Linked DNA regions of Anolis sagrei. The protein of the gene in region 1 interacts with the protein of each later gene in a pairwise test. Links are inferred from orthologs where the notes say so. Each region holds a gene or a part of one and is shown on either strand. Other genes may lie near its edges.

The links.
Region 2: the proteins of BIRC7 (region 1) and CASP9 interact in binary tests that used the Homo sapiens proteins (3 or more experiments, as listed by UniProt). The two-hybrid records come from large-scale screens. The link is inferred for Anolis sagrei from reciprocal best matches to the Homo sapiens genes BIRC7 and CASP9.

Annotation. Positions count from the first base shown.
Region 1 is NC_090024.1:235,227,593-235,243,181, forward strand, and holds the start of BIRC7 (baculoviral IAP repeat-containing protein 7), read left to right. Parts: upstream 1-7,339; 5' UTR 7,340-7,681; coding exon 7,682-8,321; intron 8,322-14,857; coding exon 14,858-14,957; intron 14,958-15,589.
Region 2 is NC_090033.1:19,568,006-19,584,348, reverse strand, and holds the start of CASP9 (caspase-9), read left to right. Parts: upstream 1-10,052; 5' UTR 10,053-10,228; coding exon 10,229-10,483; intron 10,484-16,343. Other genes in the region: DNAJC16 (dnaJ homolog subfamily C member 16), read right to left, coding at 263-329, 4,788-4,954. UniProt on the Homo sapiens protein: Involved in the activation cascade of caspases responsible for apoptosis execution. Binding of caspase-9 to Apaf-1 leads to activation of the protease which then cleaves and activates effector caspases caspase-3 (CASP3) or caspase-7 (CASP7).

The DNA.
Region 1 (15,589 bases):
AGCAGATTAAAAAAAACATTTTGCTTAGAATCATAGAGTTGGAAGAGACCTGATGGGCCATCCAATCCAACCCCCTGCCAAGAAGTAGGAAAATTGCATTCAAAGCACCCCTGACAGATAATGGAGCCCCCGGTGGCGCAGTGGGTTAAACCCCTGTGCCAGCAGGACTGAAGACCGACAGGTCGCAGGTTCGAATCCGGGGAGAGACAGATGAGCTCCCTCTGTCAGCTCCAGCTTCTCATACGGGGACATGAGAGAAGCCTCCCACAAGGATTATAAAAACATCAAATCATCCGGGCGTCCCCTGGGCAACGTCTCTCATGCCAGAAGCGACTTGCAGTTTCTCAAGTCGTCCTGACATGACAAAAAACAAAAACAAAACAAACCCTGACAGATGCCATTTTGCCTCTGTTTAAAAGCCTCCAAATAAGGAGCCTCCACCACATTCCGGAGCTTAGCTGTATTCAAAATATCATGGTTCCTGTGACAAATCATATGTATCTTTCATCAATATCTAGAGATTCGTGATCCATTTAGTCAGAGTTAGACAAGTACAAGTGATAGCTCACATTGTGAAGAGTCCGTTTATCAATGGCAACCATATATTATCATATTTCCATTCCACCTCCTCCATAAAATTTAGAGTAGTGTGCATGGTTGTTTTTTTTTTGTTGCACTTTTTATCCACAACAGTCCTCTGAGGTAGGTTAAGCTAAAGCCACAGACTTGTCCGAGGTCACTCATCGATAAGCTTCATTGCTGAGTTAAAATCTGGAGCTATATATTCTCTGATTCAGGTCTCTGAGGCAGAGATCCAAAACCTGTAGTCCTTGGGAAGCTGTGGATTTCGGTATCCATAAGACTGAAACCTAACTGATAGTCAGAAGCGATGGGAGTTAGACTCCAACAATACTTTGACCACTACAAGTTCCTGTAAGTCTAGCTGATGGTCAGGATGATGGGAGTTAGAGTCCAACAATGCCTGAACCACTACAGGTTCCCCACCCCAACACCAACCTTCATCATATATAGGCTGAGCATCCTTTATCTGGAATTCCAGAAATGCCCAAAATACTTTTGAGTAATAGTTTTACTTTCCAACAGTTCAATGTGCACAAAATGATGCTCAACATTACTACAACTATTGTATAAAATCGGAGCACAAGCCAAAACCCAGTAGGTTTTGGCTTGTGCTCTCAGGTGTAGTCAAAAACAGCTTGCAGCTTTAAAAATTAACACAAATGAGTTAATTTACCAGGTGGAGCTTGCAAGTTAAAGGTGGCCCAGGAGGCAGCATTATTCTCTTAGTTTCTGTTGTAGTGGCTGCGGATCAGTGTTTCTTGTTGTGGTTAATACCATTAGGTAAGTGCCAGGCATAAACAATAACATAATTGTGTACAGAGAGTTTGGGGCAGTGGGTTGTGACTCAGATGCCTGTGGCTTGGTTTGCTGACTTGAGTTTATTGTAAATATACTTGTTATGTAAGACAGGGTGGTGTAATGGTTTGAGCGTTCAGTTACAATTTTGGAGATAAGGTTCCAATTCCACCTGGGCATGAAAGTCTACTGGGTGACCTTGGACAAGTCACATTCTCTCAGCTTCAGACAAACTCCCCCCCCCCACCAAAAAACAAACAAACAAACCCTGTGATTGTTTCCACCAAAGACTAGAAACAACTTGAAAGCATACAGCAACAAATTAGTTGTGGACACTATTTATTCTCTCTTACAGGGATATAGCACGAGGCAACGACAAAATGATTGCATTGTCAGGCCAAATAAGGATTTTACTAATCCAAAATAATGTTCCTTCAGTCCCCAAACTTCTACCACTCAAAATAATTCACACCTAGAACTTTTGTTTCCTTGTGTTCATTTGTCCTTGGTAACTTTTTTTTACCTCTTTCCTTTGGATGTCTAAAACATATTTTTAGATGCCAAAATGGAATGTTAAATGACTGCTATGCTAGTAATTTGTGGAAAATTTTAGGGGAGAGGATTTGTACAGAGGGGCAATGTTTCCATTTTAGTCTGCGCTTGTAACTATACCTCTGCATATAAAAGCCCTCCAAATGTTAGACTGCAAATCCCAGCAGTCTTAGCCACATTATAAAGTGTGGAGGTGAAACTCTGTATAGCTGGGCAAAAAGGAAAAGTGTATATTTGACTATTTAGAATATACTTTGGAAACTGTAAAGCTCAGAGGTATCTTAAGGTAAAGGTTTTCCCTGACATTATGTCTAGTCGTGTCTGACTCTGGGGGGGGGGGGGGGGATGCTCATCACAGTTTCTAAGCCAAAGAGCTGGCATTGTCCATAGACACCTCCAAGGTCATGTGACCAGCATGACTGCATGGAGTGCCATTACCTTCCTGCTGGAGCAGTACGTATTGATCTGCTCACATTTCCATGTTTTTGAACTGCGAGGTTGGCAGAAGCTGGGGCTAACAGCGGGAGCTCACCCCGCTCCCCGGATTCAAACTGCCAACCTTTCGGTATGTTACAATCATATAAACTACTCTTTATGTATAGGCTGTCACACCTCAGTTCCTTATGTTCATGTTGAAATACTGTGCAGTGGGGGAGGAATAGTAACTGCTAGGTTGGCAGAAGCTGGGGCTACCAGCAGGAGCTCACCCCACTCCCCGGATTAAAAACCCCCAACTTTTCGGTATATTACAATAATATAAACTACTCTTTATGTATAGGCTGTCACACCTCAGTTCCTTATGTTCATGTTGAAATATTGTGCAGTGGGGGAGGAATAATAATTGCTAGGTTGGCAGAAGCTGGGGCTAACAGTGGGAGCTCACCCCGCTCCCCAGATTCAAACCGCCAACCTTTCGGTATATTACAATATTATAAACTACTCTTTATGTATAGACTGTCACACCTCAGTTCCTTCTGTTCATGTTGAAATATTGTGCAGTGGGGGGAGGAATAATTAATGTAAAATGGCATTTTTTGTTCTTTGTTGTTCAGCTGTAACAAAGAAAGGAGAACCAATGTACTGTCAGAGGGCAGAACAACAAATTCTCTGTTCTGGAGTCATCAAACTGTCTTAAACTCCGGAACGTCTTCCTCCATCCTCTGCTATTTTCTACAAAGTGGAACTGCTATGACTATAATTAACAACAACATACTTGGAATTCATAAGGCCTCAGAGTCAGCCTGGAAAGGTAGTTAGTTATCCACTATACAGTTGTCCCTCCCCATTCGTGGTTTTGGCTTTTGTGGATTTGATTATTCACAGACCATGTTTACCACGTTCTCCTTAGGAATATCTGGGTTCTCCAGTGTGACTCTGTGGCCAACTTTCTGTAGTCATGCTGGAAGACCTTGGGCCTTTCCACACAGCCATATAAACCAGAATATCAAGGCAGAAAATCCCACAATATCTGCTTTGAACTGGGTTATCTGAGTCCAAACTGCTATATATCCCAGTTCAAAGCAGATAATGTCTTATTTTATTCAACTGTGTGGAAGGGGCCCTTGAGATCTATAGAGAGAATGCCTCCTGTTATGCTTGTCTATAAAATTATAGGTATTCCAAAATTTTAAAACCCTGTCCTAAGCATTTCAGATAAGAGATACTCAACCTATATATATTGTCGCTAAGCATGGGGACCTGTTTAGTCATTTTGGGTTGCTACTGGCAATAGCCTCAGTCCCTCTATTAATTTCTTCCTATGATTGAATATAGAACCAGACATATTCTGCAGACTAGTGAAAGTAGACGTTAAAGTAGTTCAATATGATACCATAAATCATTCTATATTTCTCCATAAGAGTTTCCTAGTATAGATCCCCAGAGCAAGATCATAAGCGTGCTTATAATTTCAGATATCAATCAACAAAGGTGCTTTCTCTTAAAAACTGTTGTTTCTGCTTCTCTTGGCTTTAGCAGAATTGGACTTTTCAATAGCAGCTTCCTGGTTCTTCTCAGGATATTTGCCCTTGCATTGCTTATTTCTGCTTTACAGCTGGAGTCAGCAAATGTTACTCTACTGCAGGGGTCCTCAAACTACGGCCCGCGGGCCACTTCTGGCCCACCAAGGGCATTTATCCGGCCCGCGGAGGAGGAGCCCCCCCCCCCACACAGTGCCTCTCCCTTGGCTGGCTCACGCTGTCAGGCCCGATGTGTAGCATGAGCCAGCCAAGGGCGGCTGTCCCACGCGGCCTACTCTCGTGTAAAGCACCTCGCGAGGAGCTTTATGCGAGAGTAGGCCGCGCAGTGCTGCTCCTCCCTTGGCAAGCTCACGCTATCTGTCAGGCCCGATGGGCAGTGTGAGCCAGCCAAGTGAGGCTGCCTCGGGCTCCATGCAGTCATGCCAGCCACATGACCTTGGAGTTGTCTATGGACAACGCCAGCTCTTCGACTTAGAAATGCAGGTGAGCACCATACCCCAGAGTCAGACATGACTGGACTTCATGTCAGAGGAAAACCTTTTACTAGGAAAATTGTGGAAGATCCAGGGTGGGAGAAAGAACTCTTGTCTGTTGGAGTTGGGTATGAATGTTTCAATTGGCCACCTTGATTACCATTTCATTGCCTGACAGTTTTTAGGGAGAATCCTTTGTTGAGAGGTGATTAGCTGGCCCTGATTGTTTCTTGTCTGGCGTTCCCCTGTGTTTGAGTGTTGTTCTTTATTTACAGTTATAATTTTAGAGTTTTTTTAAATACTGGTAGTCAGATTTTGTTCAGACTAGAAATAGGAAGATTTCCCATTCTCTGCTCCTGGAATTACTGCCTAAAGAGGGCTAGAAAGAACCCCCTCTAAGGGCCCTTCCACACAGCAAAATAAGATATGTGCAATATGTATAGGATTTTTTTAATTGATTTTTTTTTTAAAAAAACTATAGTCCGGCCTTCCAACGGTCTGAGGGACAGTGAACTGGCCCCCAGTTTAAAAAGTTTGAGGATCCCTGCTCTACTATGTAGCCTTCAACATTTTAGAGGTGAAAACAGGACCAGGTGTAGCCAAGATAGTAGGGTTATTAAGGAGGACAAATTAGAAAAGGCTGCAGTAGTATGTTTTTGCCTAAGGCTACTGGAAAGAGCAAGGTTTTCCCCTCACTACTAGGTTAAAAGGGTGCTAAGTACTTTTGCACTTTGAGCTCAGTTTGCAGCAATTGAAATGGACCCCTTGGTGGCACAGTAGGTTAAACTGCTCAGCTGCTGAACTTTCTGACTGAAAGAGTGACAGTTCGAATCCAGGGAGCGAGGTGAACTCCTGCTGTTAGGCCAACTCCTGCCAACCTAGCAGTTTGAAAACATGCAAATTTCAGTATATCAATAAGTACCGATTCTACGGGAAGGTAACGGCATTCCATGCAGTCATGCTGGCTACATGACCTTGGAGGTGTCTACAGACAACACCGGCTCTTTCGCTTAGAAATGGAGATGAGTACCACCTCCCAGAGTCTGACATGGCTAGACTTAATGAAAGGGGAAAATCTTTACCTTTACCTACAGCAATTGAAACCAGCCTAGTACAAAGAGGGACCCTTGGAGTAGGAGAAGACATGGACATTTTAAATGGAGCAGAAAAAGTGGAATGAGAGAGGATTAATCAGAACTGTCAATGGTGCATTGTCATTACTTATGTCAGTGTTTCTCAACCTTGGGGTTGGAACCCCGGGGGGGGGGGGGGTTGCGAAGGGGTGTCAATGTGGTCACCAAAAACTATCATAAACCATATTTTCTGTTGATCATGGGGGTTCTGTGTGGGAAGTTTGGCCCAATTCTATCGTTGGTGGGTGTGGGGCGTAAGATTGCACATAACTGAATACGTGATGCCACACCACATATGTAGTTTTCTGTCACCACTTTAAAACCTGGGATATACTCTGTTTCTGTCCTTTTACAGGTGCCTTTCTTCTTGACTCAGTGAGGGGAAGAAGAATTTCCTTTCTAAATTCCTTTACTGCCTTGTACTGCTGCAGTTTCCCTTTTAAATTGGTTGGGGCTTTCTTGTGAGCTGTTAAACCTTTGTGCTTTATATCACAGGCTTGAAACACTCCGATAAGCAACTAAGTAACAAAGTTTATTTATAGCTTCTGGTTCCAATGCTTTATGGTTACATTTGTGTTTTGTTACAGCCTCGAGTCTTACATTCAGTATAATTCACTCAGTTAACTTTTCTTATGAAACCCTCACTGTCTCACATCAATGAATATGTTACTTTCTTCACATTCCCTTGGCTGAACTATATTCTGACTTAGAAAGCTCTTGGATTGTAGGTGAACAATAAATCCAAGCAACTACAACTCCCAAATGTCAAGGTCTATTCCCCCAAAATCAATCAGTGTTCACATTTGGGTGTATTGAGTATTCATGCTAAGTTTGGTCCAGATCCATCATTGTTTGAGTCCACAGTGATCTCTAGAGGTAGGTGAACTATAACTCCAGAACTCAAGGTCATTGCTCACCAAACCCTTTCAGTATTTTCTGTTGGTCATGAGAGTTCTGTGTGCCAAGTTTGATTCAACTCCATTGTTGGTGGAGTTCACAATGCTCTTTAATTGAGGTTAACTATAAATCCCAACAACTACAACTCCCAAATGACAAAATCAATCCCTCCCAACCCCACCAGCATTCAAATTTGGACATATCGGGAATTTGTTCCAAATTTGGTCCAGTGAATGAAAATACATCCTGCATGTTAGATATTATTTACATTACAATTCATAACAGTAGCAAAATTACAGCTATGAAGTAGCAACAAAAATAATATTATAGTTGGGGGTCTCCACAACATGAACTATATTAAGGGGTTGCAGCATTAGGAAGGTTAAGAACCATTGCCTTAATTGCTCCGTGAAATTACTGTTTCAACAGAGAATTTGATACCAGAGTCATGTATAACATGGAAATAATAGAGTTCTATTCCTACACCATAGAAAAGAACAACAGCAAACTTTTGTTCAAAACAAATAATATGCTCATGCAAAGTGAAACTACCAGATCCAAGTAATTAAGTAAATTAAAACATTTTGAACATTTTAGAGACAGTTTGGAACTGTTTTCCAAAAAGTATCCAGGGGTAATCTGTTTATTTTCTCAACAGCCTTGACTTTTCTTATGCTTTCCACTTTTCCAGCTGGTTTTAAAATATCCTGGTTTCTTTCTTGTCCTCCCACTTTCTCTTTTTTTCTTCATTTTTTTTCAGTTGCTGCAAACTGATTTCAAAGTGAAAAAAATAGTACACACATATATAAACAGGAGACCAGTGGGATGGGTCTTTTACTTTTATGTAAATGGCATAAACATTAGACCTGTTTAGTCATTCTGTGAGTCACTGGATTACCTCCCTCCCTTTTGTCCTGCCTGAACAAAGTCCACAAGGCATTCAGTCTGACAGGAGACCTTTTGTGTCCAGTGTGCCCCTGCTTTAAACTGTTGCTGGATTTCTCTCTTCTTTCTCCCTCCCCACCCAAAATACTCACACTCACATCTGGCTAGCTGTGACTGTTTCTCTTTTTCTTCCTTTCCTGTTCAAGCAAGGAGAAGAATTGGACAGAAGGGCTACCATTGACCTCCAATAATAAAATCAGCAGACTGCAGAAAAGCCAGAATTCTGAATATCTGTTGTTTGGGAGCTTGTTTGGCTTTTGGAGTTGGGAGATTTCCAGAACACACTGTCAGTGGATCGGTTGGTAGAGCCAAAGAAGACCAAAGCATGCAGGCTGCTGATGTGCATACGCGTTTGCTTGCATCTAGCACCAGGTTTATTGCTGATGTGCTGGCCTCTTTCCTGCCTAACAACCGGGAAATGGAAGATCCAAACAGAAGGGAGAGTGCATCTTCAGAGGGCAGCTCCTCTCCAGAGGAAACCAGGGGCCGGCAAATCTATTTGTCACACTCTGGTATGAGATCGGAAGAAAAGCGACTCAGGACCTTCCGGCACTGGTCAGAGCAGGTACCTGTCTCTCCATCCGACTTGTCTGCAGCTGGGTTTTTCTTCATTGGGCCTGGTGACCACGTGGAGTGTTTCTGCTGTGGAGGAGTGCTTTACGACTGGACTGCTGAAGACGACCCCATGGTGGAGCATGAGAAGTTCTTCCCAAGCTGTCCCTTCATCCAGGGCAGGGATTTCGGCAACCAGCCCCTGCCTCGGGCTGGAGAAATCCCGGACTGTGTGGATGGCCAGTTCCTTGGCATGCTGCAAAGTTTGAACATGGAAGAAGCTGCCGGAGACAGCCAACCGGAATATCCAGATCTGGAAATGGAAAGGGATCGCCTGAGGACATATCACTGCTGGCCACCCTACGCTCACGTGTCTCCAGAGGAGCTGGTGGGAGCAGGCTTTTTCTACACAGGTATGCACAAATACCAGCACTGTCCTGCTAGGTCTTACCCAAAGTCCAGGTAGTACAGTATTCTGGTCCCAGCAGGTCTTTTTCAGGGAACTCGAAAATAATATTGCAAAACCAATTACTTTACTTGTTTATTAATGTTGAATGTGCATTGAAAGTACTTCTGTTTGTGAAGGCTCCATTTCAGTCATCATGTTCAGAATGGTTTGACTTTGAAAGAGGAGGTCTAGGAAGAATATTTTATTTCAACAGGCATTTAGCAATTAGCTTGTTGGTGCAGAAGTGCTTTTTAATAATATAAGATATTGCACACACATATAATATTGATAACAATATTATAATGTAGTACAATATAATACTACTAATAATACAATATCATAATTATATATTTTATTACATGTAATATTAGTAATAATATTACAGTATAATGGTATAGTACAATATAGTAATATATAATACTAATATTGTGCTGTGCTAATAATATATTGTATACACATATAATATTGATAATATAATGTAATCTATGCAAATAAAAAATGTAATGTTCATTTGTGGGATTAACATAACTTAAAAACCACTGGGCAAATTGACACCAAATGTGGACACAATATACCTCTCAGCCCAATGAGTGACCATAACTCATATAAACACTGAAAAACACAGCGGAAGGGACTTAAAAAGCAACAAAAAAAGAAATAAATGCTACAGCGCATGCGCAAAATGGCTCCCTTGGCAAAAAAACCCCCCACACAATAGCATATCCACACTCTCTTCCGGACTACAGCTCCCAGCATCTCCTAGACCAGGCCCCTTAGGAGAGGAGGATGATCCAAATGCACTGCTTCCAAGATGCAAGCTTGCTTCTCCTTGGATTTCTTTGAGAGCATCTCAATCCCTGCATATTTCCAATTTCCTATTCCTGGACTGCAACTCCCACCAATCTTCCAGATAAATAGATAGATTAGATAGAGATTGGTAGGTAGATAGGTAGATAGATGGATCAGGAGGGCTGTTGGGAGTTGCAGTCCAAGAATAGGTAAAGAAGGAAAAAAGAGGAAGGGAAAGAAAGGGAGGAAGAAAGGGAAAAGGAAGGGAAGGAAGGAATGAGAGAAAGAAAGAAAAAAGGGAAGGGAGGAAAAAAGGGAAGAGGGTGAGAGGGAAGGAGAGAAAGAAAAGAGAAAGAGAGAGGGAAGGTCAGACATAGCAATGTGTAGTGGGTACAGCTAGTAGAATATAATATTGATATTATAATGTAACATTACAAATCAGCCATAGCAGAGCACCTGACAAACCACCTGGACACAGCATTTTGTTTGAGAACACCGAAATGCTGGACCACTCTCACAACCACCATGTCAGACTACACAGAGAAGCCATTGAAATCCACAAGCATGTGGACAATTTCAACAGAAAGGAAGAAACCATGAAAATGAACAAAATCTGGCTACCAGTATTAAAAAACTCTAAAATTGCGACAGCACAACAACAGAGAGGAAACAAACAAGGACATCTAATCACTTCTCAACAAAAGTTTGCTCCAGGCACTGTCAGGCCATTATATGCTAATCAAGGTGATCAGTTGAAACATTCACACCTAGCTCCAGCAGACAAGAGTCCTTTGTCCCACCCTGGTCATTCCACAGACATATAAACCCTTTTTCCTAGCTCCAACAGACCTCACTGCCTCTGAGGATGCTTGCCATAGATCAGGGGTTCTCAAACTAAGGCCTGAGGACCGGATATGGCCCTCCAAGGTCATTTACCCGGCCCTCGCTCAGGGTCAACCTAAGTCTGAAACGACTTGAAAGCACACAACAACAACAACAACAACAACAACAATCTTACCTCATCAGCCAAAAGCAGGCCCACACTTCCCACTGAAATACTAATAAATTTATATTTGTTAAAATTGTTCTTCATTTTAATTATTGTATTTTTAAGTGTTTTTGCACTGCAAATTAGATATGTGCAGTGTGCATAGGAATTCATGCATTTTTTTCAAATTATAATCCGGCCCTCCAACAGTTTGAGGGACTGTGACCTGGCCCTCTGTTTAAAAAGTTTGTGGACCCCTGCCCTAGATGCAGGTGAAACGTCAGGAGAGAATGCCTCTAGACCATGGCCATATAGTCCGAAAAAACCTACAACAACCCATTACAAATAAGATTACAGTATAGTGGTATAGTATATTATAATACTATATAATACTAATATTGTGCTATGTTAATAATATAAAATTGTGTGTACATATAAAAGCTCAGAGTCCCCTTCGGGGTGAGAAAGGCAGGATATAAATGTTGCAAATAAATAAATAAAATAGTGTGTATATGCTGTACACCTATTCTTAATATGCTATTACACTGTTTGAAATTATGGTTTAGTATGACCACTTATTTTTAAAAACTTTTAAATGATCAGGTTGCTAGCCCCACTTTGTTTTTCAAAAGGTCGAAGTCTAGATCTTGTCCATTTATTTGTTCCTAGAATGGATGAGAATCTGTGGAGTTGGAATAGACCACAAGGGCCAACCAGTCCAGTGCCCCTGCCATGCAGAAACATACAGTCAAAACACTCCCAACAGATAACCCTCCAACTTCTGTTAAAAAATCTCCAGAGAAGGAAACATCACACTCCAAGTCAGCATATTTCACTGCTGAACAGCTCTTACTGTCAGAAAGTTCTTCCTAATGTTTAGGGGGTCGTCCCATCCCCCCTGTCGTGCCCCCCCCCCCCCCGCAATTTGAATCCATTGCTCCATTGTGTGCTAGTCAGGAGCAGCAGAAAACAAGTGTGCCCCCTCCTCAATGTGACATCCATTCAAATATTTAAACACACCTCTCATGTCCCCTCTCAAATCTCTTTTCTCCAACCTAAATATACACAGCACCTTAAGCTGGTCCTAAAAGATCTTAGCTTCCAAACCTTTGATCATTTTGGTTGCCCTTCTCTGGACACCTTCCAGCTTGTTTATAAATTAAGTTACCTAGAACTCACACAGTATTAGAGATAAGGTCTGACCAAAGCAGAATAGAGTGATGCTATTACTTTCCCCAATCTGGGCACTAAACTCCCCATTGATGCAGCCTAGAATCACACTGGCGTTTTTAGCTGCTGCTTCACACTGTTGACTCATGTTATAATGTGCACTCTGTCCACTTTGCAGTCCAAAAAACATATACAACCCTCTTATCAGATCCATGTTAGGAGCCCCCAGAAATAACAGAAGAGGAAATTGAGAAAGCTATAAGCAAAATGAATGTAGATAAGGCGCCGGGACCGGATGGGTTTACGGCAGGATTCTACAAGACGTTTAAACAACAGTTGATACCCATTTTCAAAGTTATAGCGAATGAAGCTTTGAAAAATCGAAAGGTACCAGACTCCTGGAAAGAGGCAGAAATAACTGTGATACATAAAGAAGGTTCACCGGAAAATGATATTAAAAATTATAGACCGATCTCCTTGTTGAATACGGATTATAAAATGTTCGCAAACATCATGGCCACAAGATTAAAATCTTTTTTAAGTAAATGGATTGGAGAAGAACAAACAGGTTTTCTCCCAAATAGACACATGAAAGAAAATGTATTAGATCTTTTGGAATATTATGAGACTAACCATCAGAAAGAATTTGCCCTTTTGTCAATAGACGCTGAGAAAGCATTTGATAATTTGAATTGGGATTTCTTCAAGATTCTGATACAAGAGTTGGACATGGGAGAGAAATTTAACAATGCAATTAATGCCATATATGAATTTCAAAAGGCTAAAGTGAAAGTGAATGGTCAAGTGACTCAAGAATTTGAGATTACAAAAGGCACGAGACAAGGTTGTCCACTCTCTCCATTGATTTTTGTTATGGCGGTGGAGATCCTGATGAAGAAGATCAGAGAAGATGAAAAGATTAAAGGAGCAAAAGTTGGAAAATTTGAATATAAAATACGAGCGTTTGCAGACGATTTAATAGGTACAATCGAAAATCCGGAGAAAAATCTACAAAGTTGGATAAATAAAATAGAAGACTTTGGAAAGGTGGCAGGTTTCAAGATGAACATGAAGAAAACTAAACTTTTATTTAAGAATGTGAATAAGGAGAAACAAATAAAGATCCAACAACAGATTGGAATAGAAGGTGTCAAGAAAATTAGATATCTAGGAGTTTGGATTACAGCTAGAAATGGACAACTCTTAAAGAATAATTATGAATCAGTCTGGAAGAAGGTTCAAAAGGACTTACAGAACTGGGACCGGTTGAAAATATCTCTTCTGGGAAGAATAGCCTTGATAAAAATGAATGTATTACCAAAACTCATGTTCCTGTTCCAGAATATACCGGTGATAAGAAGTCAAACTTTGTTTAAACAGTGGAAGAAAGACTTAATGAAATTTGTCTGGAAAGGAAAAAGACCAAGAATTAATTACACAAATTTAATAGATAAGAAAACAAGAGGAGGATTGGGCTTTCCCGATTTGAAGACATATCACGAGGCCTGTGCATTGTCCTGGATTAGGGATTGGATGACTTTAGATAAAGAAAAGTGCCTAAACCTAGAAGGCTATGATTTAAGAGTGGGATGGCACGCGTATGTATGGTATAATAGAGAGATGAAGGAGAAGAATTTTGGTAACCATTTTGTGCGAGCCTCCCTATTACGGACATGGATAAGATATAAAGCTCTTTTTTATAAAACAACACCATTATGGATTTCAGCAATGGAGGCACATCAAAGAAGATTACTAGGATGGAGGACCTGGCCAAGATATAAGGATATATTAGTGAAAGGGAAAGCGGAGATCAAAACATTTGAACAATTAAAGACTGTATATAGCAATATAACTTGGCTAAATTACCTACAAATTAAAGAATACCATAAACAAGATCGGAAAATAGGTTTTGATTGGAAGGAGAACACATGGGATAGAATATTAAATATACAGAAGAAAGCGGTTGCAATATTATATAATAAATTGCTCCAGTGGATGACAGAAACAGAACAGGTGAAAACCTCCATGATTAAATGGGCGGAAAATATAAGAAGACCCATCCACTTTGGGGAATGGGAAATGATGTGGAATAAAAAATTGATATATACATATGCTATGGACTTAAAGGAAAACTGGTATAAAATGTTTTATAGATGGTATTTGACTCCGAGTAGACTGAGTTATATGTACCAAAATGTATCAGATAAGTGTTGGAAATGTAAGGAGCAAGTAGGCACTTTTTACCACATGTGGTGGACATGTAAAGAAACAACAAAGTTTTGGTCTATTATTCATGAGGAGATGCAAAAAATATTAAAGAAAAGTTATAAGAAGAAGTCTGAATATTATCTTCTGGGATTTACAGACGTTGATCTTAAACTGGATGAGAACGAAGATAAACTATTTACTTATTGTACAACGGCGGCCAGGATGGTTTTTGCCAAAAAATGGAAGAATGGTGAAGTTCCGAGTATTGAAGAATGGTGGAAGAAAATCAAAGAAATAAGAGACATGGATGAACTAACTTTTTTGTTGAGAAGAAACAATGGAAAAGTTTTGAGGAGGACAGATTGGTCCCCTATATATGAGTATGAAAAGAAAGTTGAAAAAACAATGGGATGAGAATAGACATTAAGGTGAAGAAATGTATAGAAAAGATCCGGAGGTTGGAGTGGAAGTCATTTTAGAATAGTTGGATAGTTTTAATGTCTGTATTAGATGTTAGTTAGGTATTGTTGCTTTTTGTTCTTTTTTTTCTGTATGTGTATTTCTCCCTTTCCTACTGTTCTATCTTCTTGTTATTGTTCCCCCTCTTTCCTTGTGTGGATTTGTGAAAAATTTAATAAAAAATCATTTAAAAAAAAAAAAAAGGAGCCCCCAGTTGCGCAGTGGTTTAAACCCCTGTGCCAGCAGGACTGAAAACTGACAGGTTGCAGGTTCAAATCCGGGGAGAGGCAGATGAGCTCCCTCTATCAGCTCCATCTCCTCATGTGGGTACATGAGAGAAGTCTCCCACAAGGATGATAAAACATCAAATCATCTGGGCGTCCCCTGGGCAACGTCCTTGCAGAAACCCAATTCTCTCACACCAGAAGTGACTTGCAGTTTCTCAGGTCGCTCCTGACACGACAAAAAAAAAAAAAAGTTCCATGTTGTGTCCCACCACTTGGATTTCACAGGTGTGTCAATAGGAGGCCTGAAAAAAACAGCATGACAATCAGCTACAAGAGGATCGCTATCTGGGTATCTACTTCTGTCCCTCAATTCCAACAGGCTAAATGTTGAAAAGATGTCTCCTAAAAGTTATTTCAAAATACTAGTGTGGGTCGCGGAATTAGATTTTTGTCATTAGAATGAATAAAGGTGTTGGAGTAATGTTTCTCAATCCAGGCTCATATGAGTGTCGCTCTACTCCTGAGAGATGCTTGAAGCTTTACCGGCTGTTGCTAAGTAGCTACCTAAGGAGCTGCTGTGTATATCTTGTGTAGCCATGACTCTTTTGTTTCTATGGCTGTTGTCTAACCATGAGACCATTTGTCTGAATTTTTTTTCAGGCGATGGAGATTGGGTACGATGTTTCTACTGCGATGGTGCTTTGAGGAATTGGGAACGTGGCGATGATCCCTGGGTGGAACATGCCAGATGGTTTCCAAGGTAGATCATTCCTGTATATGTAATCCTCCACACACCCCTTCCACCCCCACCCTATACACTTTCTCTCTATTTGGGTATAGGTGAAAATGGAAAACAGAGTAGCATTTATGTGTCCCTAATGATGTTGATTTCCTAGCTTTATTTATTTATTTATTTATTTATTTACAGCTTTTATGTTCCGCCCTTCTCATCCCGCAGGGGACTCAGGGCGGATTACAGTGTACACATATATGGCAAACATTCAATGCCAATTTTTGACATACAAACATATACATATACAGAGGCTATTTAAATTTTTCTGGCCACCAGGGGACCTGTCGCTTTCATCGTCCATCTGTGACACTGATGAAGTACCTCCGCATTCCTCGCATGCTTCCCCGCTGGAGTGCTTCTTTATGGCCTCATAAATTAGTTAATTTAGCCTCCCCACACTTTAAGGTGGTGGTACCTTATTTTCCTACTTGACAGATGCAACTGTCTTTCGGGTTGCAAAGGTCGACAACAGGCTACACAATGGTTGGAAACCCACTCCAACCCGGGCTGGCTTCGAACTCATGATCTTATTGCAGCTGACACTCAGCCAGCTGCAACACAATCCCGGTGCAAATTAGGAAATAAAACTTTGGCAATAT
Region 2 (16,343 bases), on another chromosome or scaffold:
TAAAGTAAAATAATAAATATAATAATAATACATAGAGTAAAATAAATGTAATAAACTAATAGAGTAAAATAATGTAAATGTAATAATACCAATAATAGAGTAAAATAATAAATGTAATAAAAATAATACTAATAACAGTCTAAAATAATAAATTCGACTCGAGTATAAGACGAGCGGGATTTTTTGATCCTAAAAAAAGGGCTGAAAAACTAGGCTTATACTCGAGTATAGACAGTATGTGTGATTGTCTGTCTGTCCGTACCTCGTACGCTTTGCTAATCTGGATGAACTTATCTTCCGCTCCAGGGTCCTTGTTTTTGTCGGGATGCCTGCAAAGCAAACACAAGGAATAGGTTGGGATGGATTTTAACTGTGATTTTTTTTTAGTACTGTTTGTGTTTCATTCTGTTTTAATGTTTGTATCGTTACTTATTTTAAACTAGCTGTCCCCTGCCACGCGTTGCTGTGGCCCACATGAGGGTTCTGTGTGAGAGGTTTGGTCCAATTCTATCGTTGGTGGGGTTCAGAATGCTCTGTGATTGTAGGTGTACTATAAATCCCAGCACTACAACTCCCAAATGTCAAGAGTCTATTTTCCCCAAACTCCACATTTCGGCATATTTAGTACTAACACGCGGGGCAGTAGTCAATCCAAAAGGCAAAACGCTAAAGCAGAATGCTTGATGCCCGATCATAAAAGACAGAAATCTCCTATTTCCCCCAAACTCCATCTGTGTACATATTTGAGCATACGGAGTATTTCTGCCAAGTTTGGTCTAGATCCATCATTGTTTGAGTCCACAGTGATTTCTGGATGTAGGTGAACTACAACTCCAAAACCAAAGGACACTGCCCAGCAAACCCAGTATTTTCTGTTGGTCATGGGAGAAATGTGTGCCAAGTTTGGTTCAATTCCATTGTTGGTGGGGTTCAGAATTTGATTGTAAGTGAACTATAAATCCCAGCAACTACAACTCCCAAATGACAAAATCTCAATTTTTTGAGTGATGGTCACTCCTTGTGTTGTGAGACTTTTTGTTGCCAAATTTGGTGCGATTTCATTCATTAGTTCTTTTGTTTTTAAGGTACTCATGACACACAGAGCATTTTTATATATATAGATTGTATAGTAATGCCTTTATGTCAAGCCGAGCTGAGTCTCCTTTGGAGTGATACAGCAGGGTAATAATAATAATAATGATAATAATAATAATAATGTTTGTTGGTTGGAGAAAGGAAAGGGGAAAACGTATGAGGGGATGGAAAGAAAGAGAAAGGAAGAGAAAGGAAGAGAAAGGAGAAAAGATAAAGGAAGGGAAGGAAAAAGGAACAAATGGAAAAGAGAAAAAAAGAAGGAAACGAAGAAATGAAGGGAGAGAGAGAAGGGAGAGAGGGATAGAAAGAAGAAAGAAGAAAAGCAAGGGAAGAGGGAAAAGGGAAAAGTACGGAGGGTGGAAGGAAAGAAAAAGGGGAAGGGAAAGGAAAAAAAGAGAAAGGGAAGAAAGAAAGAAAGAAAGAAAGAAAGAAAGAAGAGAGATCAAGAAACAGCAAAGATAAAGGAAGGGAAGGAAGAAAGAACAAATGGAAAAGAGAAAAAAGAAGAGAATGAAGAAAGGAAGAAGAAGGGAAGAGAGGGATAGAAAAAAGAAAGAAGAAAAGCAAGGGAAGAAGAAAAAGGGAAGGGGAAAACGTATGGGGGGATGGAAGGAAAGAAAAAAGAAAGAAGGGAAGAGAAAGGCAGGAAAGAGAAAGGAAGGGAAGAAAGAAAGAAGAGTGATCAAGAAACAGCAAAGATAAAGGAAGGAAGAATGAACCAATGGAAAAGAGAAAAAAGAAGTGAAGGAAAGGAAGAAGGAAGGAAGAAAGGGAGTGAGGGAAAGGAGGAATAGAAAAAAGAAAGAAGAAAAGCAAGGGAAGAAGAAAAAGGGAAGGGGGAAAAGTATGGGTGGATGGAAGGAAAGAAAAAGAAAGAAGGGAAGAGAAAGAAGAAAAGAGAAAAGAAGGGAAGAAAGGAAGAAAGAATAAAGAGAGATCAAGAAACAGCAAAGATAAAGGAAAGGAAGAAGGAACCAATGGAAAAGAGAAAAAAAGAAGTGAAGGAAAGGAAGAAGGAAGGAAGAAAGGGTTAGAAAAAAGAAAGAAGAAAAGAGAAAGGAAAGAATGAAAGAAAGAAAGACTGAAAGAAAGAAAGAACAAAGAGAGATCAAGAAACAGCAAAGATAAAGGAAGGGAAGGAAGAAAGAACAAATGGAAAAGAGAGAGAAAGAGGAGAACAGAATGAAGAAGGAAGGAAGAAAGGGAGTGAGGGAAGAGAGGAATAGAAAAAAAGAAAGAAGAAAATAAGGGAAGAAGAAAAAGGGAAGGGGGAAAGAAAAAAGAAGGGAAAGAAAAAAGAGAAAGGGAAGAAAGAAAGAAAGAAAGAAAGACTGAAAGAAAGAAAGAAAGAACCAAGAAAGATCAAGAAACAGCCAAGATAAAGGAAGGGAAGGAAGAAGGAACCAATGGAAAAGAGAGAAAAAGAAGAGAAGGAAGGGAGGGAGGGAGGGAAGAGAGGGATAGAAAGAAGAAGAAAAGCAAGGGAAGAGGAAAAAGGAAAGGGTGAAAGTATGGGTGGGTGGAAGGAAAGAAAAAAAGAAAGAAAGAACAAAGAGAGATCAAGAAACAGCAAAGGAAGGGAAGGAAGAAAGGACAAATGGAAAAAGAGAGAAAAAGAAGAGAACAGAACGAAGAAGGGAGGAAGAAAGGGAGGGAAGAGAGGAATAAAAAAAGAAAGAAGAAAAGCAAGGGAAGAAGAAAAAGGGAAGGGGGAAAGAATGGGGGATGGAAGGAAAGCAAAAAGAAGGGAAGGAAAAGAAAAAAGAGAAAGGAAGGAAAGAAAGAAAGAAAGAACAAATAGAGATCAAGAAACAGCAAAGATAAAGGAAGGGAAGGAAGAAAGAACAAATGGAAAATAGAGAAAAAGAAGAGAAGGAAAGAAGGAAGGGAGGGAGGGAAGAGAGGGATAGAAAAAAGATAGAAGAAAAGCAATGGAAGAAGAAAAAGGGAAGGGGAAAACATATGGGGGGATGGAAGGAAAGAAAAAAGAAGGGAAGGGAAAGAAAAAAGAGAAAGAAAAGAAAGAAAGAACAAAGAGAGATCAACAAACAACAAAGATAAAAGATGGGAAGGAAGAAAGAACAAATGGAAAAGAGAGAAAAAGAAGAGAAGGAAATAAATAATAATAATAATAATAACAATAATAATAATAATAATTCTGCTTTTTCTTGCAGCTCAAGGCAGGGCACAACAGGGTTTTAAAACGGAACGGTAAAATACAACAGTATTAAAATACATACGACATTATTATTATTATTATTATTATTATTATTATTATATCTCATCATCATCATTATCATCGCAACATAGAGTTAATGCAGTTTGACACCACTTTGACTCCCAAGATTCCCTAGCACTAAAACTAGAACTCCCAAAATCCCATAGAATTAGAACCAGAATTCCATCGCATTAGAACCAGCTTCCAAGATCCCATCATATTAGAACTAGAATTCCCAAGCTCCCATCACATTAGAACCAGAACTTCCAAGATCCCATCGCATTACAGCCAGAACTTCCAAGCATAGCATTAGAACTAGAACTCCTGAGATCCCATAGGATTAGAACTAGAACCCTCAAGATCTCATCAGTTTAGAAGCAGAACTCCCAAGATACTATTGCATTAGCAGAACTCCCAAGATCCCATAGGATTAGAACTAGAACCCGCAAGATCCCATAGCATTAGAACGAGAATTCCCAAGCTCCCATCACATTAGAACCAGAACTTCCAAGCATAGCATTAGAACCAGAACTCCCAAGATCCCATTGTATTAGAACTAGAATTCCCAACATCCGATTACATTAGAAGTAGACTCCCAAGATCCTATCGTATTAGAACGAGAACTCCCAAGATCCCATCATATTAGAAATAGAATTCCCAAGCTCCCATCACATTAGGACTAGAACTCCCAAGATCCCATCGCATTGGAACTAGAATTCCCAAGATCTCATCACATTGGAACCAGAACTTCCAAGCATAGCATTAGAACTAGAACCCCCAAGATCCCACAGGATTAGAACTAGAACCCCCAAGATCCCACAGGATTAGAACTAGAACCCTCAAAATCCCATCACTTTAGAACCAGAACTCCCAAGATCCCATTGCTTTAGAACGAGAACTCCCAAGATCCCATCATATTAGGACTAGAACTCCCAAGATCCCATAGGATTAGAACTAGTACCCTCAAGATGCCACCACTTTATAACCAGAACCCCCAAGATACTATCACATTAGCAGAACGACCAAGATCCCATTGCTTTAGAACGAGAACTCCCAAGATCCAATCGCATTGGAACTAGAATTCCCAAGATCCCATCACTTTAGAACTAGAACTCCCAAGATCCCATAGGATTAGAACTAGAACTCTCAAGATCCCATCACTTTAGAACCAGAACTCCCAAGATACTATAGCATTAGAATCAGCTCCCAAGATCCCATCGTATTAGAACTAGAATTCCCAAGCTCCCAGAACAGAACCAGAACTCCCAAGATACTATCGCATTAGCAGAACTCCCAAGATCCCATTGCTTTAGAACGAGAGCTCCCAAAATCCCATTGCATCGGAACTAGAACTCCCAAGATCCGATCACATTAGAACTAAAACACCCAAGATCCCATTTCATTGGAACTAGAACTCCCAAGCTCTCACCACAGAACCAGAACTCCCAAGATCCCATTTTCCCCATCCGCTCACCATTCCCGGGCGAGCTTCTTGTAGGCCTTCTTGATCTCGGCCTGGCTGGCCGTCCGGCTGACCCCCAGGATCCGGTAGGGGTCGAAATCAATGGCCGACAAGATCTGCAGGGCCAGGACGAGGAAGAGCAGCGCCACCAGCGAGACGCTCAGCCGCTTCATCTCCATCTTGCTTCCTGAACAAAACGAAGCGGAGAGAGGTCAGGAGAGGCCAGAAATATACATATCTATTATTGTTGTTGCAATTATTAGTATTATTTTGCTGTGACATACTGTGTTTTGTGTCAGTAAAATAATACTAATTAAAATATAATAATAATATTGTATAATGATAATACAATATTATACAATAATATTGGACTAGGTGGCCCCTTATATAATAATGATTATTATTATTGTACTAGATCAGAATATTGTACTACAAATGTAAAATCTAAAATAATATGCAAATATCTAAAGCATACACACACACACAATTACTAAAATGTAAAATATCACTACTGACTGAAAGGTCATGAGTTCGAAGCCAGCCTGGGTCAGAGTGAGCTTCCGACCAATTTGTATAGCTTGCTGTCGACCTTTGCAGCCCGAAAGACAGTTGCATATATATATATACACACACACACACATATATCTATATATATAAATCTGTTAGGTTGGTTCAACCGGACAGCAAAACTCCACAACCCCCCAACGAAACTTAACCAAAATTCCCATGCCCATAACACAACCCACAAGGTACAAATATATCTACTCAAAATGAAAAACAACACAACAACACACTCACAAAACGGCAAAACAACAAAGCTCACAAACCCCCCAACGAAACTTAACCAAAATTCCCATGCCAATAACACAGCCCACAAGGTACAAATATATCTACTCAAAATGAAAAACAACACAACAACACACTCACAAAATGGCAAAACAACTGAGCATGCGCATTGGTGCCCAGCCGCAAGTTCCCTGGCGCGCACACACAGCCTTCTGGCCAACGTTCCCTCTGCAGAAGCCATGCCCACTCCAAGCCCCACCACGCCGCTTCCCGCACACACACACACACCCTGCCGCACGCACACACACAACCCCACGCTCCATCACTCCCCCCGCCACCACACACACACACGCAACCCCATTCCCCCCGCCGCCGCACACACACATACGCAACCCCACTCCCCCCACCGCCGCACACACACACACAACCGCAGGCTCCATCATTCTCCCCGCCGCTGCACACACATATGCAACCCCACGCTCCATCACTCCCCCACCGCCGCACACACACACGCAACCCCATGCTCCATCACTCCCTCGCCGCCGCACACACACACGCAACCCCACGCTCCATCACTCCCCCCGCCGCCGCACACACACACGCAACCCCACTCCCCCCGCCGCCGCACACACACACGCAACCCCAGGCTCCATCATTCCCCCCGCCGCTGCACACACATAATAGTCCAAATATCTACCTCAACTTTGATAAGTTTTACTATAGGCCACAGCAACGCGTGGCAGGGCACAGCTAGTAGTATATATATTATACATATTGCATCAAGAGGAGCCTAGTGTCTACATCCAGGGAAGTCCTGTTCCCCATGCTCTATTCAGCCTCTGTTCATTTTGTGCTTTAGTCTTGCGGACCTTTTCCCTACAGGTGTTGGCTATTTGTTTGAATTCTTCTTTGGTGATTTCTCCCTTTTTCCACTTCTTGTGCATGTTTCTTTTGTGTTTTAGCACAGTTAAAAGTCCTGCTCTCCATGCTCTATTCCGCTTTGGTTAGACCACGTTACCTGGAATATTGTGTCCAATTCTGGGCACCACAATTCAAGAGAGATATTGACTCTAAGCTAGAATGTGTCCAGGGAAAGAGGGCGACTAAAATGATCAAGGGTCTGGAGAACAAGCCCTATGAGGAGCGGCTTAAGGAGCTGGGCATGTTTAGCCTGAAGAAGAGAAGGCTGAGAGGAGATATGATGAGAGCCATGTATAAATATGTGAGAGGAAGCCACAGGGAGGAGGGAGCAGGCTTCCTTTCTGCTTCCCTGGAGAGAGACTAGGACGCAAGGGAACAATGGCTTCAAACTACAAGAGAGGAGATTCCATCTGAACAAGAGGAAGAACTTCCTGCCTGTGAGAGCCGTTCAGCAGTGGAACTCTCTGCCCTGGAGTGTGGTGGAGGCTCCTTCTTTGGAAGTTTTTAAACAGAGGCTGGATGGCCATCTGTCAGGGTGCTTTGAATGCAATATTCCTGCTTCTTGGCAGAATGGGGTTGGACTGGATGATGGCCCAGGAGGTCTCTTCCAACTCTTTGATTCTAGGATTCTATGATTCTAGGTCATGAGTTCGAAGCCAGCCGGGGTCAGAGTGAGCTTCCGACCAATTTGTGTAGCTTGCTGTCAACCTTTGCAGCCCGAAAGACAGTTGCATACACACACACACACACACACACACATATAGTATATATATTATACATATATATATATACAAACACACAATAAAAAGGTAAAATGTCAGTATAAAATATAATATCAAAATATAAATATATATAATACAAAGATAAATGTAATGTATATATATAAAATATAGACATATAAAATAAATAATAATAAACATATATTATCTAAAAATATAAAAACATACAAATAAAATATTATATATAATATATGTATATACACACACATATAACATTATATATATATATTATACATATATATAAATATATAAATATATAAAAATATATATTATACATTATATATATATATATATATGTATACACATACATATATATAAACAAATAATAAAAAGGTACGATGTCAGTATAAAATATATTATAATATATAAAAATACAGACATATAAAATAAATAATAATAAACATATATTATCTAAAAATATAAAAACATATACAAATAAAATATTATATCTTATAATATTATATAATATATATATACACACACACACAAACACACATATATATATAAAACATTATATATATTATACATATATATAAATATAATAAAAAGGTAAAATGTCAGTATAAAATATAATATCAACATATAAAATAATACGTACACAAATATAAATGTAACATATATATAAATATATACATATAATATAAATACTAATAAACATATATGATCTAAAAATATAAAAACATATACAACTAAAATATTATATAAATATAATATTATATATATTATAATATTATATAATATATATATATATACACACACAAACATATATATATAACATTATATATTATACATATATATATATATATAAATATATATTACACACATATATAAACAAATAATAAAAAGGCAAATTTGAGTATGAAATATAATATCAAAATATCAAATAATATTTATATAAATATAAATGTAACATATATATAAATATATACAAATAATAAAAATGTTGAGACAAAATATATTTATAAATTATAAAATAATGAACAAACATATAAATATATCTATATACAAAAAATATTTACAAAATACAAAAATAGAATACCCATCAAACAATAAAAATATAATTTCTACGAAATATAACAATTTTATATATATATATATATAATAAAATTAGAATATCTAAAAATGTAATAAAAATAGAATATCTATAAAACATAAAAATATACAATATATATTATATATATATATATATAAAGAGTTCATATACATAGTTTAATATTATATATATAAAAATAATAATTGGTGAAATGTTCGCACTACCCACCCTCAGCTCTCTTCTCTTGTCCCTTTAGGCTCCACTTCCGGTTCCGGCCGCCGTCACCATAGAGACGCTCACTTCCGGCAAGGCCAAGCCCCGCCTCGAAACTTGGCCGGGAGGGTAAGCGAGCGGTGGAACGAGCTGCGCATGCGCCGAGAGTATAAGGCGGGGGAAACCGCGCATGCGTAGAAAGGTGTACCTCGCATGTGTGGTGAGCCGTCTGTCTACTGTGGGTTGGTTGGGCATAAGGAGATGGAAACTGCGCATGCGCGGATGGCCGTTTGTCTCGGGGATTGTGTGGTAATAAGGAGCAGGAAACTGCGCATGTGCGGAGAGAGAAAAAGCTGGGGAAACTGCGCATGCGTAGAAAGCTGTACTTCGCATGCGTGGTGAGCCGTCTGTCTCCTGCGGGTTGTTTGGGCACAAGGAGCTGGAAACTGCGCATGCGCAGAGAGCTGCTTGTCCCGTGGATCGTTTGGCAATAAGGAGCTGGAAACTGCGCATGCGCGGAGAGCATATGGCGGGGGGAAACTGCGCATGCGTAGAAAGCTGTAGCTCGCATGCGTGTTGAGCCGTCTCCAAGCGGCTCTCCGCGCATGCGCAGCTGGAAACGGCGCATGCGCAGAGAGGTGTTTGTCTCGGATCGTTTGGCAATAAGGAGCTGGAAACAACTGCGCATGCGCGGAGAGCTGTTTCTCTTTTGGATCGTTTGGCAATAAGGCGCTGGAAACTGCGCATGCGCAGAGAGCAAAAAGCTGGGGAAACTGCGCATGCGTTGTGAGCCGTCTGTCTCCGGGTTGTTTGGGCATAAGGAGCTGGAAACTGCGCATGCGCGGAGAGCCCTTTGCCTTGCTGCGGGTTATTCAACCCTAAGTAGGGGGAAACTGCGCATGCGTAGAAAGCTGTGCTTCGCATGCGTGGTGAGCCGTCTGTCTCCTGTGGGTTGTTTGGGCACAAGGGGCTGCAAGCTGCGCCTGCGCGGGCACATGGAGCTGGAAACTGCGCATGCGCGGAGAGCCGTTTGTCTTGCTGCGGGTTGTTCAACCCTAAGGAGGGGAAAACTGCGCATGCGTGGTGAGCCGTCTGTCTCCTGCGGGTTATTTGGACACAAGGAGCTGGAAACTGCGCATGCGCAGAGAGCCGTTTGTCTCGCTACGGGTTGTTCTACCCTAAGGAGGGGGAAACTGCGCATGCGTGGTGAGCCGTCTGTCTACTGTGAGTTGTTTGGGCACAAGGAGCTGGAAACTGCGCATGCGCAGAGAGCCTTTGTCTCGATGCGGTTTGTTCTACCCTAAGGAGGGGGGAACTGCGCATGCGTGGTGAGCCGTCTGTCTACTGTGAGTTGTTTCGCCACAAGGAGCTGGGGAAACTGCGCATGCGCGGAGAGCCGTTTGTCTTGCTAGGGTTGTCCAACCCTAAGGAGGTGGAAACTGCGCATGCGTGGTGAGCCGTCTGTCTACTGTGAGTTGTTTGGGCACAAGGAGCTGGAAACTGCGCATGCGCAGAGAGCCGTTTGTCTCGATGCGGTTTGTTCAACCCTAAGGAGGGGGAAACTGCGCATGCGTAGAAACCTGTACCTCGCATGCGTGGTGAAGAGCGGTTTGTCTCATGGATCGTTTGGCGATAAGGAAGCGGACACTGCGCATGCGTAGGGAGCTGCTTGTCTCCGGGCAGTTCAACCACAAGGAGATAACCGCGCATGCGTCAGAACGATGTCGCCAAGCGGTGGCCATATATGGGCATGTGGCGTCACGCAAAGGGGAGGAGCCAGGGGCGTGGTCAAGGGTAGGGGAGTTCCCTACCCGGAAGTAGCGTGTTTTCCTCTATTTCCCGCCATGGAGGAGTCCCACCGGGTTTTGCTGCGGAGGAATCGGGTCCGGCTGGTGAAGGAGCTGCGAGTGGATCCCCTCTGGGATCTCCTGGTGCAGGAGGGGGTCTTCTCCCAGGACATGGTCGAGGAGATCCAGGTCCAGTGCCTTTCAGTGCCTTGATAAGAGAGGGCAGAATACAGGGTTAGTCAAAATGCATAGGCCAATAAGCCATTCAATTGAATGGCTTATTGGCCTATTCATTTTGACTAACCCTGTATAAACATGGCAACAGGAAGGAGGGCAGAATAGTATAAACATGGGGAGGAGGAAAAGGATAGCGGGGAAATAATAATAATAATAATTATAATAATAATAAATTAGATAATCATTTAATTTATACAAGTCAAATAAATAAATAAACAAATAAAATAAATCAAATACATTATTATATTATAATAATAATAATAAATTATTCAAGTCAAATAAATAAATAAAATTTTTATTTATTTGTTTGCTTGTTTGGAAGTTTTCTATCCCGGCCTTCTCACCTCAACCGAGGGACTCAGGTCGGTTTACAGCATATATGCAATTGCAAAATACAGGGTTAGTCAAAATGAATAGGCCAATGTACAGGGTTAGTCAAAATGAATTGGCCTATTCATTTTGACTAACCCTGTATACAAATACAACCGAGTGCAACATCATTAAAGATTAAAACCACACAATAAAATACAATAAAACACCATCATTGCAATTACCCAGGCCAGAACGTCAATACAGTCGTAGTCGTAGTCACAGTTCATCAAAGATTCGATACCGTCGACCACGGTATCCTTCTGGGACGCCTCGCGGGAATGGGCCTTGGTGGCACTGCTCTGCAGTGGCTCAGGTCCTTCCTAGAGGATCGTACTCAGAAGGTGTTGCTGGGGGACAACTGCTCTACCCCACAACCATTGACTTGTGGGGTCCCGCAGGGCTCAATATTGTCCCCCATGTTATTTAACATCTACATGAAGCCGTTGGGAGAGATCATCCGGAGTTTCGGGGTGCGGTGTTATCTGTACGCAGATGACGTCCAACTCTGTCACTCCTTCCCACCTACTACTAAGGAGGCTGTTCAGGTCCTGAACTGGTGCTTGGCCGCTGTATCGGACTGGATGAGGGCGAACAAATTGAAATTGAATCCAGACAAGACAGAGGCACTCCTGGTCAGTCGGAAGGCCGAACAGGGCATAGGGTTACAGCCTGTGTTAGACGGGGTGACACTCCCCCTGAAGACGCAGGTTCGCAGCTTGGGTGTGATCCTGGACTCCTCGCTAAGCTTGGAACCCCAGGTTTCGGCGGTGTCCAGGGGAGCATTTGCACAACTCAAACTTGTGCGCCAGTTGCGCCCGTACCTTGGGAAGTCGGACTTGGCCACGGTAGTCCACGCTCTGGTCACATCCCGGATTGATTACTGCAACGCGCTCTACGTGGGGTTGCCCTTGAAGACAGCCCGGAAGCTTCAGATGGTCCAGCGCTCGGCAGCCAGGTTGCTAACTGGAGCGGCACTCAGGGAGCACACCACTCCTCTGCTGAGCCAGCTCCACTGGCTGCCAATCCGCTACCGGGCTCAATTCAAGGTGCTGGCCTTAGCCTATAAAGCCCTAAACGGTTCTGGCCCCGCTTACCTCTCCGAACGCATTTCCGCCTACGAACCGACTAGAACATTAAGATCGTCTGGGGAGGACCTGCTCTCGATCCCGCCTGCGTCACAGGTACGCTTGGCGGGGACGAGAGACAGGGCCTTCTCAGTGGTGGCCCCTCGGCTATGGAATGCCTTGCCAGCTGACATCAGGCAGGCACCTTCGTTGCTGGCGTTTCGGAGAATGGTCAAGACCTGGCTTTACGAACAAGCGTTCGGCTAAGCAATGCAACTAACTAAGGAAGACGGTAACTGAACATAGGAACGGCACAATGACTATGAGAATGGATCTGACTTTAACGGAGGCGCTATATATGTTGTTTGTCGATTTGTCTGTCTATGTTAATTGTTGTGGAGCGACGTTGTCGTCCCGGTTGTTGTATTGCCGTGTTTTTAATTGCACTGTAAACCGCATTGAGTCGCCTGTCAAGGGCTGAAATATGCGGTATAAAAGTGAAGCAAATAAATAAATAAATAAATATTCATTTTGACTAACCCTGTATACAAATACAACCGAGTGCAACATCATTAAAGATTAAAACCACACAATAAAATACAATAAAACACCATCATTACAATTACCCAGGCCAGAACGTCAATACAGTCATAGTCGTAGTCACAGTTCATCAAAGATTCAGTCCTCAAATGCCACATTCCAGAGCCAGGTCTTTAGTAATTTCCTGAAAGTCAGGAGGGAGGGGACAGATCGAATTTCCAGTGGAAGGGAGTTCCAGAGCCGGGGAGCCACCAATGAGAAGGCCCTGTCTCTCGCCTCCACCAAGCGCGACTGAGAGGGTGGTGGGACCGAGAACAGGGCCCCTCCGGAAGATCTTATTTATTTATTTATTTATTTATTAATGCACTTGTATACCGCTAATATCTATTATTACATTTTACTACACGCATATTATATTTTAGTATATATTATTATATTATATTTATATAACATTACATTATTATAGTATTTTTATTTTATTATTTTATTTGTTCATGGCCCCAATGGAGAGAGCAAGGAACACTGGGATATTTATATTATTAATATATTTTATTATTATATTTCTACTATTATTATATTTTATTATAGTCATATTACATTAGTATATTTATATTATTTTATCTGCTTTATATTTATATTATTATTGTTTTTTATTTTTTTATTTTATTTGTTCATGGCGCCAATGGAGAGAGTAAGGAACACTGGGATATTTATATTATTAATATATTTTATTTCTATATTTCTACTATTATATTTTATTATATTCACATTATATTCTAGTATATATTATATTTATATATTACCTTATTATAGTATTTTTATTTTAATATTTATATTATTAATATATTTTATTACTATATTTCTACTATTATAATTTATTATATTCATATTATATTTTAGTATATATTATTGTATTATATTTACATAATATCACATTATTATAGTATTTTTATTTTAATACTTATATTAATATATTTTATTTATTTATTTATGTACTTGTATACCGCTAATATCTCAGCCTAAATCGGCGACTCATTGCGGTTTACAACATTTAAAAAACAATATTCAGTTAAAAGCATAAAACACATATACAGTACAAATTATTGGGCCACCAATAACAATCCTATGCATCTCATAACTGGAATCGTAATCCAAAATTCATCGTCCGTGTATAACCAATCCTTAGTCATCACAATTCGTTACAACGGATTAACCGAATGCTTGTTTAAACATCCATGTCTTCAATCTTTTCCGAAACACCATCAGCGAAGGGGCTGATCGTACCTCTATGGGGAGGGTGTTCCAAAGCCGGGGGGCCACCACAGAAAAGGCCCTATCTCTCGTCCCCGCCAGCCGAGCTTGAGAAGCAGGCGGGATCGAGAGCAGGGCCTCCCCGGAAGATCTCAAAGTCCTGGTGGGTTCATAGGCAGAGATGCGGTCAGATAGGTAGCTTGGGCCGGAACCGTTTAGGGCTTTAAAGGCCAACGCCAGCACTTTGAATTCAGCCCGGTAGCAGATCGGTAGCCAGTGGAGTTGGCGCAACAGGGGGGTTGTATGCTCCCTGCACTCCGCTCCTGTTAAAATCATGGCTGCCGAGCGTTGGGCTAGTTGGAGCTTCCGAGCTGTCTTCAAAGGCAACCCCACGTAGAGAGCGTTGCAGTAGTCTAAACGGGATGTAACCAGAGCGTGGACTACCGTGGCCAAGTCAGACTTCCCAAGATACGGGCGCAGCTGGCGCACAAGCTTTAGCTGTGCAAATGCTCCCCTGGTCACCGCCGAAACCTGGGGCTCCAGGCTCAGCGATGAGTCCAGGGTCACACCCAAGCTGCGAACCTGCGTCTTCAAGGGGAGTGCGACCCCGTCCAACACAGGCTGTAACCCTATGCCCTGTTCGGCCTTGCGACTGACCAGGAGGACCTCTGTCTTGTCTGGATTCAATTTCAATCTTAATAACCTTAATAATCTATTATACATTATTATATGTATAATAATAATAAATTATTAGATAATCATGCTGTATATGTATATATGTGTGTCCTCCTTTCTTCACAACCGTGGACAGCGAGTGGAGAGGGAAGGCCTGGTCTCAGAGAGGTCCCCCCTCTCTCTCTCTCTTGTGGGGTTCCTCCTCAGGGGGCCATTCTCTCCCCTCTCTTGTTTCACATCTCTATGACCACTTGCTCAGCTGGTTCAAGGTTTTGGGCTGGAGTGTTATCAGTATGCCGATGACACTCAGCTGGTGCTGAAGATGGAAGGCCGACCAGACTCTGTCCCCGATTGTTTCCCTCAGTGCCTCATTGAGGCCGTGACTGGATGGCTGTGTGCCAGCAGGTTGAGGGTGAATCCAGCAAAGACGGAGATCCTATGGCTGGGTCGACCGGGCAGTGGGGACGTCCAGCTGCCTACCCTGGATGGCGAGGCACTACGCCCGTCCTCGTTGGTCAAGAGCCTGGGAGTCCTTTTGGACCCTCTGCTGACAATGGAGGCCCAGGTCTCCGCCGTGAGCAGCACCACCTTCTTTCTTTCACCTGCGGCAAGCTAGACTGCTGGCCCCCTCCCTGTCCAGGCCACGGTCATCTCAAGACTGGACTACTGTAACGCCCTCTACATTGGCCTCCCGCTGTCGGTGATCCGGAAGCTCAAGTTGGTACAAAATTCAAGTGGGAACTCCGATGAGATGCCACATCACCCCAATCTTCCTGCAGCTGCATTGGTTACCCATTGAGCACCGGAGCACTTTCAAAGAGATGGGACTCACCTTGAAGGCCTTGCATGGTCTGGGGCCGATGGACCTGAGGGACCACCTCACCCCCTCCCAACCCCAGAGATCCCTCCATTCTGAGGACCAAGATCTATTGGAAATCCCCAGTGTCAAGACCTTTCATCTAACAGCAACCAGGCACAGAGCCTTCACAGCAGTGGCACCATCGCTCTGGACTCTGCCACCTGAAGTCCGTGCCTTGCGGGACTTACTAGCTTTCTGCAGGGCATGGAAGACATACCTGTTTCGACAGGCCTTTGATCTTTGATATTGCTGTTTTTAAATTGTGTTAGATTTTAGCCTGTTCTTGTAAGTCGCTCCAAGCCCCAGGGGAGTGGCGCCATATGCGTTTGCATAATAAAATAAATAAATAAATATACCTCCCTGGGATGCATTTGGGAGCTTTAAAAACACAACAATGGTGTGTGTATATATATATATAATCATTATAATAATACATTCTATATGTGTGTGTGTGTGTATATATATATATATATATATATATATATACATACAATCATTATAATAATGTGTGTATATATGTGTGTGTATATATATAATCATTATAATAATACATTTTATATATGTGTGTATGTATTGTGTATATATATATATAATCATTATAATAATGTGTGTATGTATATGTGTATATATATATACAGGGTTAGTCAAAATGAATAGGCCGAATGTATGTTTACTGTAACGCTTATTGGCCTATTCATTTTGACTAACCCTGTATATATAATCCTTATAATAATATGTGTGTGTATATATATAATTATTATAATAATGTGTGTATGTATGTGTGTACATATATAATCATTATAATAATACATTCTATATGTGTGTGTATGCATGTGTATATATATAATCATTATAATAATGTGTGTATGTGTATATATAATCATAATGTGTGTATGTATGTATATATATATAATCATTATAATAATGTGTGTATGTATGTGTGTACATATATAATCATTATAATAATACATTCTATATGTGTGTGTATGCATGTGTATATATATAATCATTATAATAATGTGTGTATGTGTATATATAATCATAATGTGTG